Linked DNA regions of Danio rerio. The main gene of each other region encodes a partner of the protein of the gene in region 3 in a complex. Links are inferred from orthologs where the notes say so. Each region holds a gene or a part of one and is shown on either strand. Other genes may lie near its edges.

What was found.
Region 1: the proteins of topbp1 (region 3) and brip1 are in contact, whole or in part, in a crystal structure (PDB 3AL3), measured with the Homo sapiens proteins. The link is inferred for Danio rerio from reciprocal best matches to the Homo sapiens genes TOPBP1 and BRIP1. Residues at the interface, in NP_008958.2 of Homo sapiens: Leu1272, Ser1273, Ser1274, Leu1275, Asn1276, Pro1277, Arg1280, Gln1298, His1311, Leu1313, Arg1314, Asn1315, Glu1316, Lys1317, Leu1319, Gln1366, Arg1407, Gly1410, Phe1411, Leu1414, Thr1466, Glu1467, Ile1469, Ala1470; in NP_114432.2 of Homo sapiens: Ser1129, Tyr1131, Phe1132, Thr1133, Pro1134, Glu1135, Leu1136, Tyr1137, Asp1138.
Region 2: the proteins of topbp1 (region 3) and phf8 are in contact, whole or in part, in a crystal structure (PDB 7CMZ), measured with the Homo sapiens proteins. The link is inferred for Danio rerio from reciprocal best matches to the Homo sapiens genes TOPBP1 and PHF8. Residues at the interface, in NP_008958.2 of Homo sapiens: Gln1298, Cys1299, Arg1314, Asn1315, Glu1316, Leu1319, Arg1369, Ser1406, Arg1407, Gly1410, Phe1411, Arg1413, Leu1414, Arg1465, Thr1466, Glu1467, Ala1470, Asp1471, Gln1475, Asn1483, Tyr1484; in NP_001171825.1 of Homo sapiens: Gly842, Ala843, Cys844, Phe845, Asp847, Ala848, Tyr850, Ile851, Tyr852, Pro853, Ser854, Leu855, Glu856.

Annotation. Positions count from the first base shown.
Region 1 is NC_133190.1:30,011,804-30,016,872, reverse strand, and holds the start of brip1 (Fanconi anemia group J protein), read left to right. Parts: upstream 1-1,499; 5' UTR 1,500-1,624; intron 1,625-1,940; 5' UTR 1,941-1,974; coding exon 1,975-2,067; intron 2,068-2,229; coding exon 2,230-2,341; intron 2,342-3,224; coding exon 3,225-3,413; intron 3,414-5,069. UniProt on the Homo sapiens protein: DNA-dependent ATPase and 5'-3' DNA helicase required for the maintenance of chromosomal stability. Acts late in the Fanconi anemia pathway, after FANCD2 ubiquitination.
Region 2 is NC_133198.1:30,524,805-30,529,664, forward strand, and holds the start of phf8 (histone lysine demethylase PHF8), read right to left. Parts: upstream 3,571-4,860; 5' UTR 3,317-3,570; coding exon 3,219-3,316; intron 3,114-3,218; coding exon 3,028-3,113; intron 2,505-3,027; coding exon 2,384-2,504; intron 1-2,383. UniProt on the Homo sapiens protein: Histone lysine demethylase with selectivity for the di- and monomethyl states that plays a key role cell cycle progression, rDNA transcription and brain development.
Region 3 is NC_133199.1:10,074,252-10,079,291, reverse strand, and holds part of topbp1 (DNA topoisomerase 2-binding protein 1), read right to left. Parts: intron 4,236-5,040; coding exon 4,112-4,235; intron 2,309-4,111; coding exon 2,144-2,308; intron 2,050-2,143; coding exon 1,953-2,049; intron 1,720-1,952; coding exon 1,524-1,719; intron 327-1,523; coding exon 97-326; intron 1-96. UniProt on the Homo sapiens protein: Scaffold protein that acts as a key protein-protein adapter in DNA replication and DNA repair. Composed of multiple BRCT domains, which specifically recognize and bind phosphorylated proteins, bringing proteins together into functional combinations.

The sequences.
Region 1 (5,069 bases), on a different chromosome or scaffold from region 3:
TTGTATTTTATTACATTAAAAAATCATTTCACCCCTCCCCCCATTTTTATACCACATGTTATTATGAATTTATTATGTATCATATTGATTCATCAGGCCTTTTGGTAACTTCTTAGCTCAAAACTATTTTAATTTTAGCTACAAACAAAGTTATAACATTTCAATTAAATAGAACATTTCACACTGTTTGTTTCTGTTTTTTTTACACTAAACATTTGACAGTCTTTTTTATTTCACTTTTAGCAGTTTCAGTCAATTGTTCTTGCAAAGACAGACCTTCTGCCTCAGTCTGAATGTGAGAAGTAATTGCAATGTTCTTTTGCCCTTTAGGACTCCCATGTCTATCATTTTGTTTTGACAAATGTACAACAACAAGTCCAAAAGCAAGGCTAGTCAAGGTGCTATAATCATTTAGTAAGTGAAAATTAAATTAAGAAGAAATTTGGGGTGGTATGAGATGCATTTCTTTGTGACTTAACATGCTTAATGTAATTATACCTTTTACTATACTTCAAACTATTACAGTTGTGTTCAGAACTGCGAAAAGCATATTTTTAAGCATATTGATATCTTTATGAAAAAATATCTTTAATTTATTGATGGAAATATTTTCCACATTTTATCACTTGCCTGTTATAAAATATAGTTGGATTGAAGGGGGGCGCGCAAAAGTTGTAGCCGCATACCCATCAGTACATGTGAAGTTGTGCCCCTGTATACAGCTTATTATATACAATAAATGTATTATAGAATTTAACTTTTTTAAAGATGTTATTGCACAACTTTCTACTACTAAAATATTACTATCACAAATCGATGGTACAAAAGCACACATACTGTGCAAAAATGATTATTGACAAAGGATGAAGGTCTTCATCCAAACATAAACTCCTTCAAACAGGCCTTTTATTAATTATTGGTTAAAACATATTATACCCAAGTGATATTATAAGGAGAAACTAAAATGTTTTTTGTTTTGTGATCATAAATTTGTTTTAAAATTAAACTTTATCAAAGGGCTCACCTGAATATCTCTTTCTGGATAGATGGAATAACTATTTCCTAAATGATTTATTCAGATAAATTTTGACAAAGTAAAGTTGACATCAAGGTACTGAAACGGTTAACAGAGGGGACTTTGTTTGAAATGCTTTTATTTTGAAATATACAAAATTTAATTTATAGTATAATATAATATAATATAAAAAAATTATTTTGATTTATATTTGACGTAATAATCTATATAAATCTTAAATAATGCTCTGGACTGGTATGTGTCGAATATATATATATATATATATATATATATATATATATATATATATATATATATATATATATATATATATATATATATATATATACATTGTTATATGTTAATATTATTTAATTTCGCGAGTAATATCAGTCATTCCATTTTTGCGATGTTGTTTCTACAGAAAAAAATAATAATTTAAGAAAAGTGTCTTTTATTTTGCCTGTTGACGTCACATTGACGCACCGACGTCTTGTTTGTGATGCAGCGCGGGAGTTTCATTTTGTGCCTCATTTTATTTTTTGCTAATTTTACTCTTTCAAAAATGTAACTTTATTTCCGCGGTTATTCATTTTATACTCATCTAACGTAAGTCACATTACTCCTAACTTAGCATGCTAACGATAACTTAGCTTACGGTCGTTGTTTACATTCGGTACGTTAATACCAGTCAAACTTGAGAAAATAACTTTCTACGCTGTCAGTTTTGTCATATAAATGTTCGTATTAACCTTTAAACACTGCTTTTTACGTATGTAGTCGATTGAATCGTGTTTACTAGACACAAGTATCGCTCTTGTCAAGTGTCAGTTAAATATTAACGATAAATCAAATGGCAGTCAGTAAATGTTGTGTTTATCCACAATACACAGGCCTAATACACCGCTAATGTTTGTGTCCTCAGACTCTGACCTCCACTGGACACTGAAACCCACAGAATGGCAGCGACACCAGTGGAATATACCATAGGAGGGGTGAAAATAAACTTCCCCTGTAAAGCGTATCCCTCTCAGCTGGCCATGATGAACTCTGTAAGATATGTTGCACACTGACAGATGTGTTCATGTTTTACTCTTTACGAACAAGCATGCATGCCGTCCTTTATTTCTCACCCTAACATATTTATAAAGAAACTTGTAAAGAAGTTTAGTTAGTTGAACATGACGTGTCTGGTATTTTCATGTTTATCTTAGATCATTCGTGGACTTAACAACGGGCAGCACTGTCTACTGGAGAGCCCCACTGGCAGTGGCAAGAGTCTTGCTTTGCTTTGTTCGGCCCTTGCATGGCAGCAAGCTCAGTTTGGTAAGAAATGAGTCCATCTATTCTGTCTGTTATTGCAATGGTTTATACATAAATGGGAGATAAAGGTGATCAATAGCAACACATTGCATGTAAAAATGATTAGATAATTTCCATATCATTATAAAAATCTCTAATGGAATTAAATAAAATAATTAAAAATTCTTAAAAAAATTACTACAGAATTTCAAAACTGAAAGAACTGTTTAAAAGCTTATGGTATTAAAATGTTTATATAGAATGAATTGCATAATATTATTTTGTTATATATAAAGAGTTTAGATGCAAAAACCTCTAAATGGCACAATTTTCTCCTAAAATTATATATATTTTTTTAGCCACCTATATTTATATTTTGCTATTTCACGTTAAAGGCAATGAAAAGAACTTATAAATGAATTCTTAAACACACACAAGAGGCTGAGAAAATGCTTATTTTAGAAGAAAACAACAAATAGCATTTTGAGGTTTTGCAACTAAACGTCATATATTATATAATTTTTGCTGTCCCCCCCAGCTTTTTGATTCTGAAAAAAAAGGTTAATTTGATTGTCAAAAGTTTAAAAAACAATTTTTTTTTTTACCAGCCTTCAGTACTTAGTATTAGGATCCATTACCAATAATTCCATCATGCTGATGTGGTTTCATCATCATCATTATCATCATCATCATCATCATCAATAGTATCCATTGTTATTGTGAAATCCATGATACAATTTTATCATACTTTAATGGACCAACATGTCAAAAGGAAATCTCATTTTTAGCGCAATATCATTAGCCATTTTGGCAGTTAAATACCCAAGAACTCAGTGACATTTGTATGTTTGTGTATGTTTCATAGAGAATTTAATCTATGATTTTTTTTATCATACTGCATATTAAGTTAAGGAGCAAGATGCAGGCACTGGATTTGCTGACTGTAAGAAATCAGAAGTGGTTACTCCATGTCAGTGTGCATGCCATAGCCGAAATGCACAGTCCACTTTCAACACCAGAGCATCCAGACCACCTACAGTTCATCTTACGTGTGAAGGTACTTCCGCTCAGCCTACAACCCCTCTCTCAAAAGGAGGTAAGCGTTTAAAACATTTTGAATCGTAAGCATAAATTCTCGTTCACACTTGATAATCAAACTGTATACTCATTGGAAATGAACATGCAAGTAAGGCATGGAAGTAGCAGAAGGATTTCCACTTAAAGACAAATCCTTGTACATTGTTGATAAAATTAGTGTGACTGATGTCAAAGAGAAATCTGTTTATGATTTGTGTAATACATTTTGACTATAAAAAATATATTTTAATAGACTATATATATATTATAGACTATATATATATATTTATATATATATATATATATATATATATATATATATATATATATATATATATATATATATATATATATATATTTATATATATATATATATATATATATTTATATTTAATAGACTATATATAAATATATATTAGGGATGGGAAGATTAACCGATATGTATCGATACGCGGTCTTGCGCGTGCACGATGCGAGTGCATCGGTAGAGCAGCAGAGGATGAATGAAATTTTGGAAGCAAATCGAGATGCATCGGTTTTTGCGAGATGCATCGGTTTTTCCAAGATACAACTTATATTTTTAATATAGAATGTATTTTTTATTTATTAACAAATTTGTCAACCTGTTTTTGGCGCATAATTTAATCGACCTACATAAATTATGCATTAGCAACTAGGGGTGTAACGATATTAAAACCGACCCGAAATATCGCGATACACCAGCCACGATACGTATCGCGAAACTCTCGTGGCGTATCGCGGAACTCTCACTCCCCCTGCTGCCCATTGTTGAGGTTGACGTCACTTGTCTCTAACTAATTGAACCAATTTAAACACATCTTTATTATCACATTTAATTAAATTGTTTTAGTAATGATGAGGTTTTGTTCTAAATATTATATTCTAAAGTTAGTATTTTAGTGCATGTCATGTCATGTGACTTGAGTGAGCATCACACTCGTTACTACTGGACGCAGGATGGCTGCTTCACATAGTACTGAGATTGCAGATCCCCAAGACACATTTAAGTCATCTGTGTGGAAACATTTTGGTTTTCCAGTTGAGTACAGGAATAGAATTCGTGTCGTAGACAAAGCGCACGCCTGTCTGTCTTAACTGTTTCACGAAACTTACTTGTAAGGAAAAACATTTAAAAAGTGTGGTAATTTCACAATGTGAGGGTGTAAGCAACAGAACTGCCAACAAAAGTGATTTAATGTACAAAAGTGAAACCAGAATAATGCCAATATACAAAAAAAGAGAAATATTTACACTAATAAAAATAATATAATAAAGTAGCAAATTCAAACAAAAGTATCAAACAGAAATTAGTTAAACTCGATAGTGATAGTGAAGACAAACAAAAGAAATAAATATAATAAAACAATTCTAACTCATGAATAACCCCTTATCTCGCTAAAACTGATGAAAAGAAAAAAAAAGGTCTTCAGCGCCGTGCGCCGCATTCTTCCCTATACTGAATAAAATAAACAAAGATGACCTTCACCTCTTACCTGATGTCTTTAGCAATAAATTTTCTACGTGTTTGCAAAATGGAAATCGTATGACATTTTCCCTATTTACCTTACACTAAGAGTGAACAGCTATATTGTCGGGAAGGAGCGGATCCAAAAAATAATATACAAATCAATTGAAATAAAAATGTACAAACCTC
Region 2 (4,860 bases), on a different chromosome or scaffold from region 3:
ATTATTGTAACATCAGATAAGCATAAGCCCACAATTAGAAGTGAAGAATTTGTTTAAAGTCAGATCAAGATTAAATTTAACTAATTTTCAAGGAATAGTAACATAAAGCTAAAGAGTTCAATTTTAGCATTTTAAAATCCAATCAGTCGTGAGTTTGAGCTACTTGTATAGCAAGGTAGCGTTCAGAAAAAACAAAACACCTGCGAAGAAACTCGACACAGATGAACAAAAAACCCTACTGCCAGCTAGTGTTTCACAAGTGTTATTGCAGAGCAACACAAACAGCATGCAGAATTATAAATGCAGGACTATACGCAAGGCAGGCACAGTGGGTCACGCTGATCATTCGACGCAGAAGTAAAAACAAGGCTTTAGCTTAGCATAAATCATTGAATCAGATTAGACCATAAGCATCTCAACCAAAAATGTAAAAAAAAAAAAAAAAACATTTTGATAATTTAATTTAAATCTCAACTCTTCTGTAATTACATTGTGCACCAAGAGTGACAAAAAAATAAAGGTTGCTATTTTCTAGGTCGATGTGGCTATGCTCTCACTCTGGCATGATAATCAAGAAACTTTGCTGCCGTTCCATGGTTGCAGCAGGTGCAATGATATTATGCAGCAGCTGAAAATAGTCCCCAGCTAGGTAACAGTGCTGCAAAATATCATTGGTGGAAAAACAACTTTTCATTTTCCGTTAGTCTTAGTACACACAGGGCCGGATTAGGAATACATTGGGCCCTGGGGCTATAGCAAATCCAAGGCCCTCCCCTTTATTTTTTTTACCTCACAAAAGTATATATTATTATTAATTGTTGTTTTTGGTATTATTATTATGGTTAGTAATAATTTACTAATTCATATTATCTAATTTTCCACCATTAGATTTTTTTATATTTGATTATTATGGATTTTTTTCTATTTTATTAAAATAGGCCTGCAAGAATACAAAATTAAGCAATGACATAATATGAACTTTAAAGTTCAAACAGGCTGCAAACATCAACAAAACAAAACAAAAAACTTTTGCAATACTACCTCAATTAGTGCTTTATAATTAATACTTTAAATTGGGGTTTACCTTTAAAAACGTTCTTTAGAACTTTAGGTGACCATAAATCCCTAATGATATAATATCTTTAATATCCATGCTTCTAATATCCAAAATAGCTTTTTGTGGTCTTCTGAGTTACAGAAGGTTATCCTTATTTTGTTTATTTATCTATTGTTTTTTTGCATCAGATATATTGTCTAATGAAAGCCAGGGTCAATATTTCATTGCTCCATATTATTACTATCATTTTCATAAAAGGGGCAAAGTAAGCATCCATTAAAAAAAAAGTTTGCTTTCTAACTGGTTCAGTTAGACTTACTGTAAAGCACAGGTGTCAAACTCAGTTCCAAAAGGGCCGCAGCTCTGCACAGTTTAGTTCCAACCCTAATTAAACACACCTGATCAAACTAATTGAGTCCTTCAGGCTTGTTTGAAACCTACAGGTAAGTGTGTTTGAGCAGGGTTGGAACTAAACTGTGCAGGGCTTCGGCCCTCCAGGAATTGAGTTTGACACCCCTGCTGTAAAGCATAGAGTGTATTTACTTGAGATAGATACTCCACAACCATGGATATTTTGAAAATGCTTTACAGGCAATTTGATTTGATCGCACACTGTTTCGGTTATATTGTGTGATGGAAGGATTGTGCGGGTGTGCGCCGCTTTGAGTCCAGCTGTAATCGCTGCACGGTCGAGACATTGCTTCAGTTCCGCCTATCCCAGCTTCTGTTGTTACATGTACAAGTTAGCCTAACTTTGACTGGACGGTTCTTGCAGTAGTGCCAAAATAAGACTTTCCTGGTAAAAATGAGATATGTGATCACTCTTTGGGTGACTAAAACAGGGATATTCAATATTCTGATTGGGCTACAGCCACTGAGCCCCAGTTTAGCACTGACGTCACTGTTTTTGAACAGCAGCGAACCGGAAGAATTACTTCACATTATTTTCGTAGAGTAAGCACAACGCAGAGGCGTTTCCCTCGTCATACCGCAAATTAATCCTTTAGCTAATCAAGCCCCACCTAGCCCTTACATTTATCCGGCCCTGAGTACACAATATAACTACAGAAGAGTTAAGATTTAAATAGGAAAATGACTATAACAAGCAAGATGCTAATCGATTCAATGATTTATGGCAAGCTAAAAGTTCTCCCACCAGTCCCGGATATCGGCTGAATGGATTCAAAAATGGAAAAAATTAACTGTTTAACTTAAGGTAACTTGTAAAAAAAAGTGAAATGTTCCTTTAAAATGTAGAGTACTAGAGGTATTGACAACCTAGAATTACCTAGAGGTCATTTTGAGCTAGCAATAGTGTAAATGTACCTGGGAAAAGTGCGACAGCGTAGCTCTCTGACAAACTGAGCACTGCCCGTCTTCACAGGTCGCCCTGAGTCTCTCCCCAATCCAACATCAGCGTGTTTTACAGCTCCTCGCCGTTTACGCACTGACAGAAAAATAGATATCATAGTTACTAGTCAAATTTTTCCAAGTTTAGATGTTTATTAGTCCATTCTAAGCTGTAAATCGAAGTTATGAATAATCATACATAAAATACACAACAAAAATAGTCTGTTTCTGACTTGGTGCAAATTAGTTTCCATACAATTTCATAAACATAAAGACCAAATTAACCCAGCACTATTACATTAGATTCAACTTTATTGTCATTAAATATGCACAAGTACGAGGCCAGGAAATGCAGTTTAGGTCTAAACAGGAGTGCAACAGCAGCAAGTGCAGGATACAGGTATAAGTTATAAAGTGCAATTAAAGAAAAACTATGGGTGATATTTACAGATGGATGTACTATGAACATGATTATATAAAGGTTGTATTGACTATGAACAGAGATTTAAAATAGATGAATATAGGTACAGATACTCTGAAAACATTTATTTTTAATCCACAAAAAGACTTACTAAGAAATAGTCAGAATTGACATTTATTACACCATTTGTGACACTTACTGACAGATGGTCCATGTGTCACCTGACAGTTAGGACAATGATACAGATCAATTTCTGCTGCTTTGTCCTCCTCCACACCAACACAACTACACAAAAAGAAAAAACATATATTATTACATTCACAAAAAACACATTCATAAGAAGTACAAGATTTAGCTTTTAACAGTCATTTAAAAATTTTGCAACCTCACCTGCCATGAAACCAGTCCTGACAAACATCACACTCAATCATGAATCGGGTGACATCATAAGGGAGACGACACAGGCAGTAAACCGGAACAGATGCCATTCTAAAGCCTCCGGCCTACTATCTTAATGTAAAAAAGTCTTTTAATATGGTATTGCTTCTTTTCCAAGCACCACAGTTTATTTATTTGTCTCTGTGGAGTGTCAATTTTCTTTACAAAGGTCAGCAATTCCGTTGAGGTGTTGAAAAGACCAGATTCACAGTAAATTTTGTTGGCAGTGTCAACAGCTTTCAGACAACTGTAGATCAATATGCTTCAGCCGTTGCAGTCAAACCGGGCAATAGGTGCATACCATGGCTCGACACCTGTTGAGAAAGTAAGAAAAATTTGTCAAATGAACAATTCAACGTATTATAGCCAAACTACAATTCAAATAGAATGTGTAAATTATTTAAAATATTAAACTTTGGAAATGTGTTCAAAATAATACAAAAGAATTAGTCTGTGTTTGGCTAAACTTCTACATCTATGCACCTGCTGCCTTTACTATAGCCAACAGTCTCAATCTTTGCAAGCTTCTTATTCATTCTCAAACATACCTTTAAAGTGAAGCCAAAATAGCCCACAAGACGTTATAACTACACATTGTCTGGCCTAAATGCTTAAAATATTACACAAAATACATGAAAAACTTGTAAGTTATGTTCTGGTCCTGTTATTTATTTACAAAAGTTTGTGTCAAAAGTATTTGGGTTAAGACTCATAACACTTCATTAAAGATTTATACATTACAGTTGTAAAAACTACACATTTGTGAAAGCGACCTTTCACAAATAACCTAAGTAACTTATCAATAACGTGGTAATAACAAATCTACTATGATGTTAGCGATACCAGTTAATTCACATAGTTTAGAGCTGCATAGATGGAGTTGACTTACAACGGGACGATGCTAAAAATGAAAGCGCGATGCACAAATATTTAATTGCATCCACTGAATTTGTACATTTAAAATCATATGTGTGTTTTTATATTAGGCAACGCATTTTCTGAGAGCAGAAAAGAGTTTGTTGAAACATAAAAGCTGGTAGCTAGCTTAGCTGCTAATAACATAGCATAATCGTTAACGTCTTGCAACGTGAACCTGCTTAATCTTTGTGTTTACAACTCAACCAAGATACGTTTCAGAGATTTTAGAAATTTAGCTAGAAATGAAATACGTAGGATGCTATTATAAGAGTCGCAGCTAAACAAAAGGACTTGTTGCAGCGCGCGCAGTGCTATAGGGTCTTACCGGGTGTAAAATGCCGCGACTCCCCCAAGGGCCAATCGCAGCATGCCGGACAAGTTTTTAGGAAAATCCGAGGCCTGCGCGGCCTGCTTTACAAACAACAAGAGGCTTTCAGAAAACGCACAATTCTTCCTTTTTACGTATTTAAGAGAGGAGAATGAGTAAACAAATCTTGCAAGATCTCGAGGGAATACAGTCCACAGCTGAGAATCATAGATTTTATGAAATTCATAACGCAGCGATTTCCCGTGCTATAAATCCATCCCAATCCGCCCGTGCAGCGACCACTGTCTGCGGGAGAGGGAACAATAAAGTTGCTTCGCATGTCGGTCGTTCTTCGGACAGCAGAGACTT
Region 3 (5,040 bases):
CAGACACTCCCTTGATACTTTTGCATGCTTTTCCATGCGCTCTAGACTTAAAATAGAGCCCCAAATCCGAAACTTATTTAAATTGGTTTCGCATACCCATTTCCACCAGTTCAGAGTCAGTCATGGAGTCTCTGCCGTTGGTTGTGTGGTCAGAGTGTGGCGGTGGGACGAGCGCCAGAGGTTCAGAGTGCTGAGAGGGGCTGCCAGGCCACTGCAGGTTATCAGCCAGTTTAGCTCTCTCTTCTCGTGCTGTGGGGTCATCCCAAACGATCTGCTCACTCTGGGATGGCTCTGTGTTCAGATCCACACATACTTGACGTGACATCCTGCCAAACACACAATCTTTCAACATTCGAGTCTAATGATAACCACAGTTTCTACAGGTTTCAGAAAAGTCCAATTTAAGATTTTTAAAATTTCAAGACTATTATAAAAAAAATTTCAGAATTATAAAGGGCTAAACACTAACAATTTTTTCTAATTGCCAGTGGAAAAGATTAGTAATTGTCCCCTGCCCCCATAAAATTGAATTTACATTAGATTTTAAAAAATTGTATCAAAACAAACAAATTCTAGTTGTATACATAATTAATAATAAAAAAAAAACATACACATATAAAAATAGTGTAATAAATGTAACTTGTTACATGCTTAATTGAGATAAATTGTTGGTGGTAGGATGGGTGTTAGCCTGATCTTTACATGGACAGGTAAATTAAGTTCCGTTTAAAAATGTAAGATCTACAACACAAAAATCTGAGTGAATTTAAGGGCCCTATCGTACACCTTGCGCAATAGGCAAAAGACTTTTTTTCCGTTTGTTCATGACAGTTTGCATTTATATAATGCTATTATTATTAACAGTTTTAATTATTATATGCATGTTTATATTTTTTTATAAAAACAAGTTTAGATTTGTCCACCTGACTGGTTTTGGAGACGTATGCATCACCATACGGGGCATAAGAATAGGACATGTGTTAGGATATAACTCAAGTTTTTTGACTGAAATTAGACCTGAATTTAGAAATAGTTTTAAAACAAATCTTTGTTCTTAACAAACAAAATTAAATATGTAGGCTAAAGAATGTCTTCAGTGGAAAGCGTACAACACTGTTTCCTTTCCACGAAGAGAGAGAGTAAAAGTAAAGAGAAAGAAAATGAAAGGAGGCTCATTCTTTATCCTCGCGGTGAATAAGGTTTGATTAACTGTTTTATCGCTAGTGAAGCAGTCAGGTTTCCACTTACAAAGTCCACCACGGACACACCGTAAATGCTTATGCGCCGTGTGCCTAGATTGTTAAACTAGAGCCCTAAGACTTTGTAAGGCCTAAAATGTAGTTTTGAAAAATTAAAAGACTTAAGTCCTTGCATCTGATGCACATCAACAGAAATCATCAAAATCATTGTCTGTCTAAATTCTCAAGTGAACAACCAGAAAATGCAATGTATACTCTCAAGTGGTAAAAGCTTTGAGACAATAAGAGAATCAAACAGTATTCTGTGTAGTCTTGTTTTTATACCGTATGGCCTCTAAATTGCGACTGCGTCTGCTCATCCGCCCCAGGCTGTCCGGGGTGTGGGGAGAGTCCAGCCCCCCTGGGCCTGTTTTGGCCAACCGCGAGGAGCCTCGACGACCGCTGGTTAGTTTAGTGGCAGACATGATCTCCTGAAGCTGCCTTTGAAGACTTTCCCTCATCTCCAGTGTTTCCGTGAGATCTGAGGGAGGCACAATATAAGAAAATTAAAGGAAGAGTCAATTAACTTAAGATCAGTGAGAGAGAGAGAGAGAGAGAGAGAGAGAGAGAGAGAGAGAGAGAGAGAGAGAGAGAGAGAGAGAGAGAAAGAGAGAGAGAGAGAGAGAGAGAGAGAGAGAGAGAGAGAGAGAGAGAGAGAGAGAGAGAGAGATGTATAATAAATAAATCAAAGACATGTCTTTAAAGATGACTTGCTTTTCTTCTCGGTGCTGATGGTTTGATCTTTCTCAGGCTCTCCCACACTGCCTTGCTTAGGAGTTGAGACGTCGGTGATGTCATCATCAGGGCCCAACTTTAGAAATAAAGAATAAATATATACAAGATATAACCTTTAATAAAAACTTGATAAGCTGGGATTGATTGGTGGTAAAGTTATGAATGGTCACCCTGGTCTCCTCATTCTCAGCGAAAGCTCTCAGTCTGGTGCGGGGGGTGGCAGAAGGAGGTGATCTCTGAGTGGAATCTGCCATCTGACTCATGGTGAGGCTCATTTTAGGGTTGAATGTAAAAGGGTAGAGCGACTCCGACACATGCTTCTGCTCATCTGCACACTGAAAAAGGAATGGTGAGTGAATGTAATGAATTCCCCAGCTTTGCACTACTGTTAAATTATTTACTTTCAATTTTTAATGTCCATTATTAGGCAAGGCAAGTTTATTTATATACAGTAGCACATTTCAAACACAATAGTAATTCAAAATGGTTTACATAAACAAGGATAAAAGAAACTAGAAATACTCATTTCGGTTAATTTTGCAAACCAACAACCACCACTCGTTAACCCAATATTAATGATTAAGTGGTCAGATTAATATTAAATTATTATTTAATTTTAAAAAATAATTGACGTGTCTATTTTGTGTCTGACACGTTAAATATTGCATTTTAAAATACTGATTTATTTTAACATGCGAACATATTATCAACAGAACATCTCAAAGCACCTGCAGTGTTTCCAACAGCACAGAAAAAATATTAAACAAAATAAAAGGCTAAAAATAAATGCCTGCACTAGATATTTTTCACTTAAATTGCAAATGTAGATTACAAAACGAAAACACTTCGTGAATCCTTTTAAACCAGCATAGGCTATTTTTACTTCCATCAAATAAAAATAGCAGGCTACCTCAAATCAATCATTGAATCAATCATCAAATCAAAATTAATTCTCTGTGGCAGTTCTTATATCACAAACCACTGTCAACATTTTAATAAAAGTTTTTAGTTTAAAGATTATGTCTTGAGCTTCTAAATTTAACTTATTTAAGAGCTTCTCAGCTTTTACTTACTTTTTTTTTTCATCATTTACTTCGTCATTTATTTCTCAAAATCTTTCACAGCAAATGAATATTTTAGCATGGTGTAGTCATTTACATACATATAATAACTGGTAAGCACAGAAAAAAATCTTGAAATGGCCAAACAGGAGCTCCAACAGTCAATTTGTCAGCTTACAGTCATGTACACCTGTTGTATTGTGGTACGTGTCCTCTTTCTATGGTGTTAATAGAACATTAGGGGTTTATTTAATGGTTTTGATATTGAATTGTACGTGCTATTTTTTTTAGATCGTTGTCATTCTATTCAGAATACATTTTGAAAATTTTGGTGCATTTTCCCATCATCAAATGCTCAAAATGTATCTTTAATAATAGCAATATCTGAATTAAATACTTTGTAACAAACAACTGTTTTTATTACATGGTGGTGCAGTGGGAAGCGCTATCGCCTCACAGTAGAGATCTGCGCGGGACAATATTTTGAATCCCGCTCCTGCCAGGTTTTAGCCCGAACCCGACCGCTCCCGCATATATTAAGTATTTGTTGTCCCGCTGCCCGACCCTTCCCGTTTTCTTTTCGGAAATGAATAATAATAATAATATTGATTATTTATATTTATTTATATTTATAATGCAGACCTCTACCTCACAGCAAGAAGCTCGCTGGTTTAAACCTCAGCTGGGTCAGCTGGTATTTCTGTGTGGAGTTTGCATGTTCTCCCCGTGTTTGTGTGGGTTTCCTCCAGGTGCTCCGATTTCCCCCACAAGTCCAAAGACATGCGCTGTAGGTGAATTGGCTAAGCTAAATTGTCTGCAGTGTGTATGTGTATGTCCTAATCTTCCCACCTCATAAAAAAGATTAGATGTAACGAAACACCAACATGGTGCGGCTAAATATCAATTTCGATTTAAAATGGCCCTGGGAGTAAGAAAGTAACTGAAATTATTTGTATATTTGAAAATGCAAATACATTTTGACATTGTGTAACAATGAGGCAATGCTTTAAGTTTTGTTTTTAAACTCTAATGAATGCTTAATGTATATCTACTCATTAGGTAACTTCATATACTTACAGCCTGTAGCCAGTGTTGTGAAACTATATAGAGTCCTCTCTCTTTGACAGCTCTGTATTCTTTACTGTTGTCTCCCACTTTCCCCTGGTAGATGTAATGAGTGACCGAGTCGTCACAAGACCATCTGAAACAGAGAGCATGACATTAGACCCCATTGCTTTATCCTAAAACACATAATACCAGCATCTTAGCTGCCAATTAGATTTTTTGTTGATTTATTACCTTCTCAGTAACTTATGACTAGGCCACACAGAATCTGAGCGCACAGAAATCCACAGATTTCTGCATATTTTTAGGCCATCATTTAGTCTATTTATTTACTTGTATAAATGTGTGTACATTTATATTAATCCAGTGTTTAAATTGATTTCACTAATATTATTGAGATGTAATAATAGTAATATTAAAATGTTCATATGATTGCTTTACAATACAGATTGTAAAGTCATATTTTGTCTTTTAGTAGATCTATTATATGAGAGAATTTTGTTTACCAAATAAGTGGATCTAGTTGGATTTGCATTGTCAACTTTAAATAAAAAGTTAAAAAGGTATTGCTTTTTAATTCATATATTAAGTTTTTAGTTATGATAAATCTGCAGATTGTTTACAAAGTTCTCCAAAGAAATGGCAAAAAATGTCCGCAGTTTCTGCCTGGCCCTACTTATGACTATTTAGGATAAAAAGATATTACATAATAGTAACCACAAATCAATACATGAATGAAACAGTAGAAAAAAAAAACACTTCAAATTCGACATTAAAAACAGTAAATATTATTTTTCACTAGGGTTAAGTATTGTTTGGGGTTATTTCGATCTAAATCAGTCTCGATACTAAATCAATCGGTGCTACATCAATACCTTTAAAATTGTACCGGTGCCAAAAAGGTGCCTGAACCGATACTTTTTAGTCACAAATTTATGATG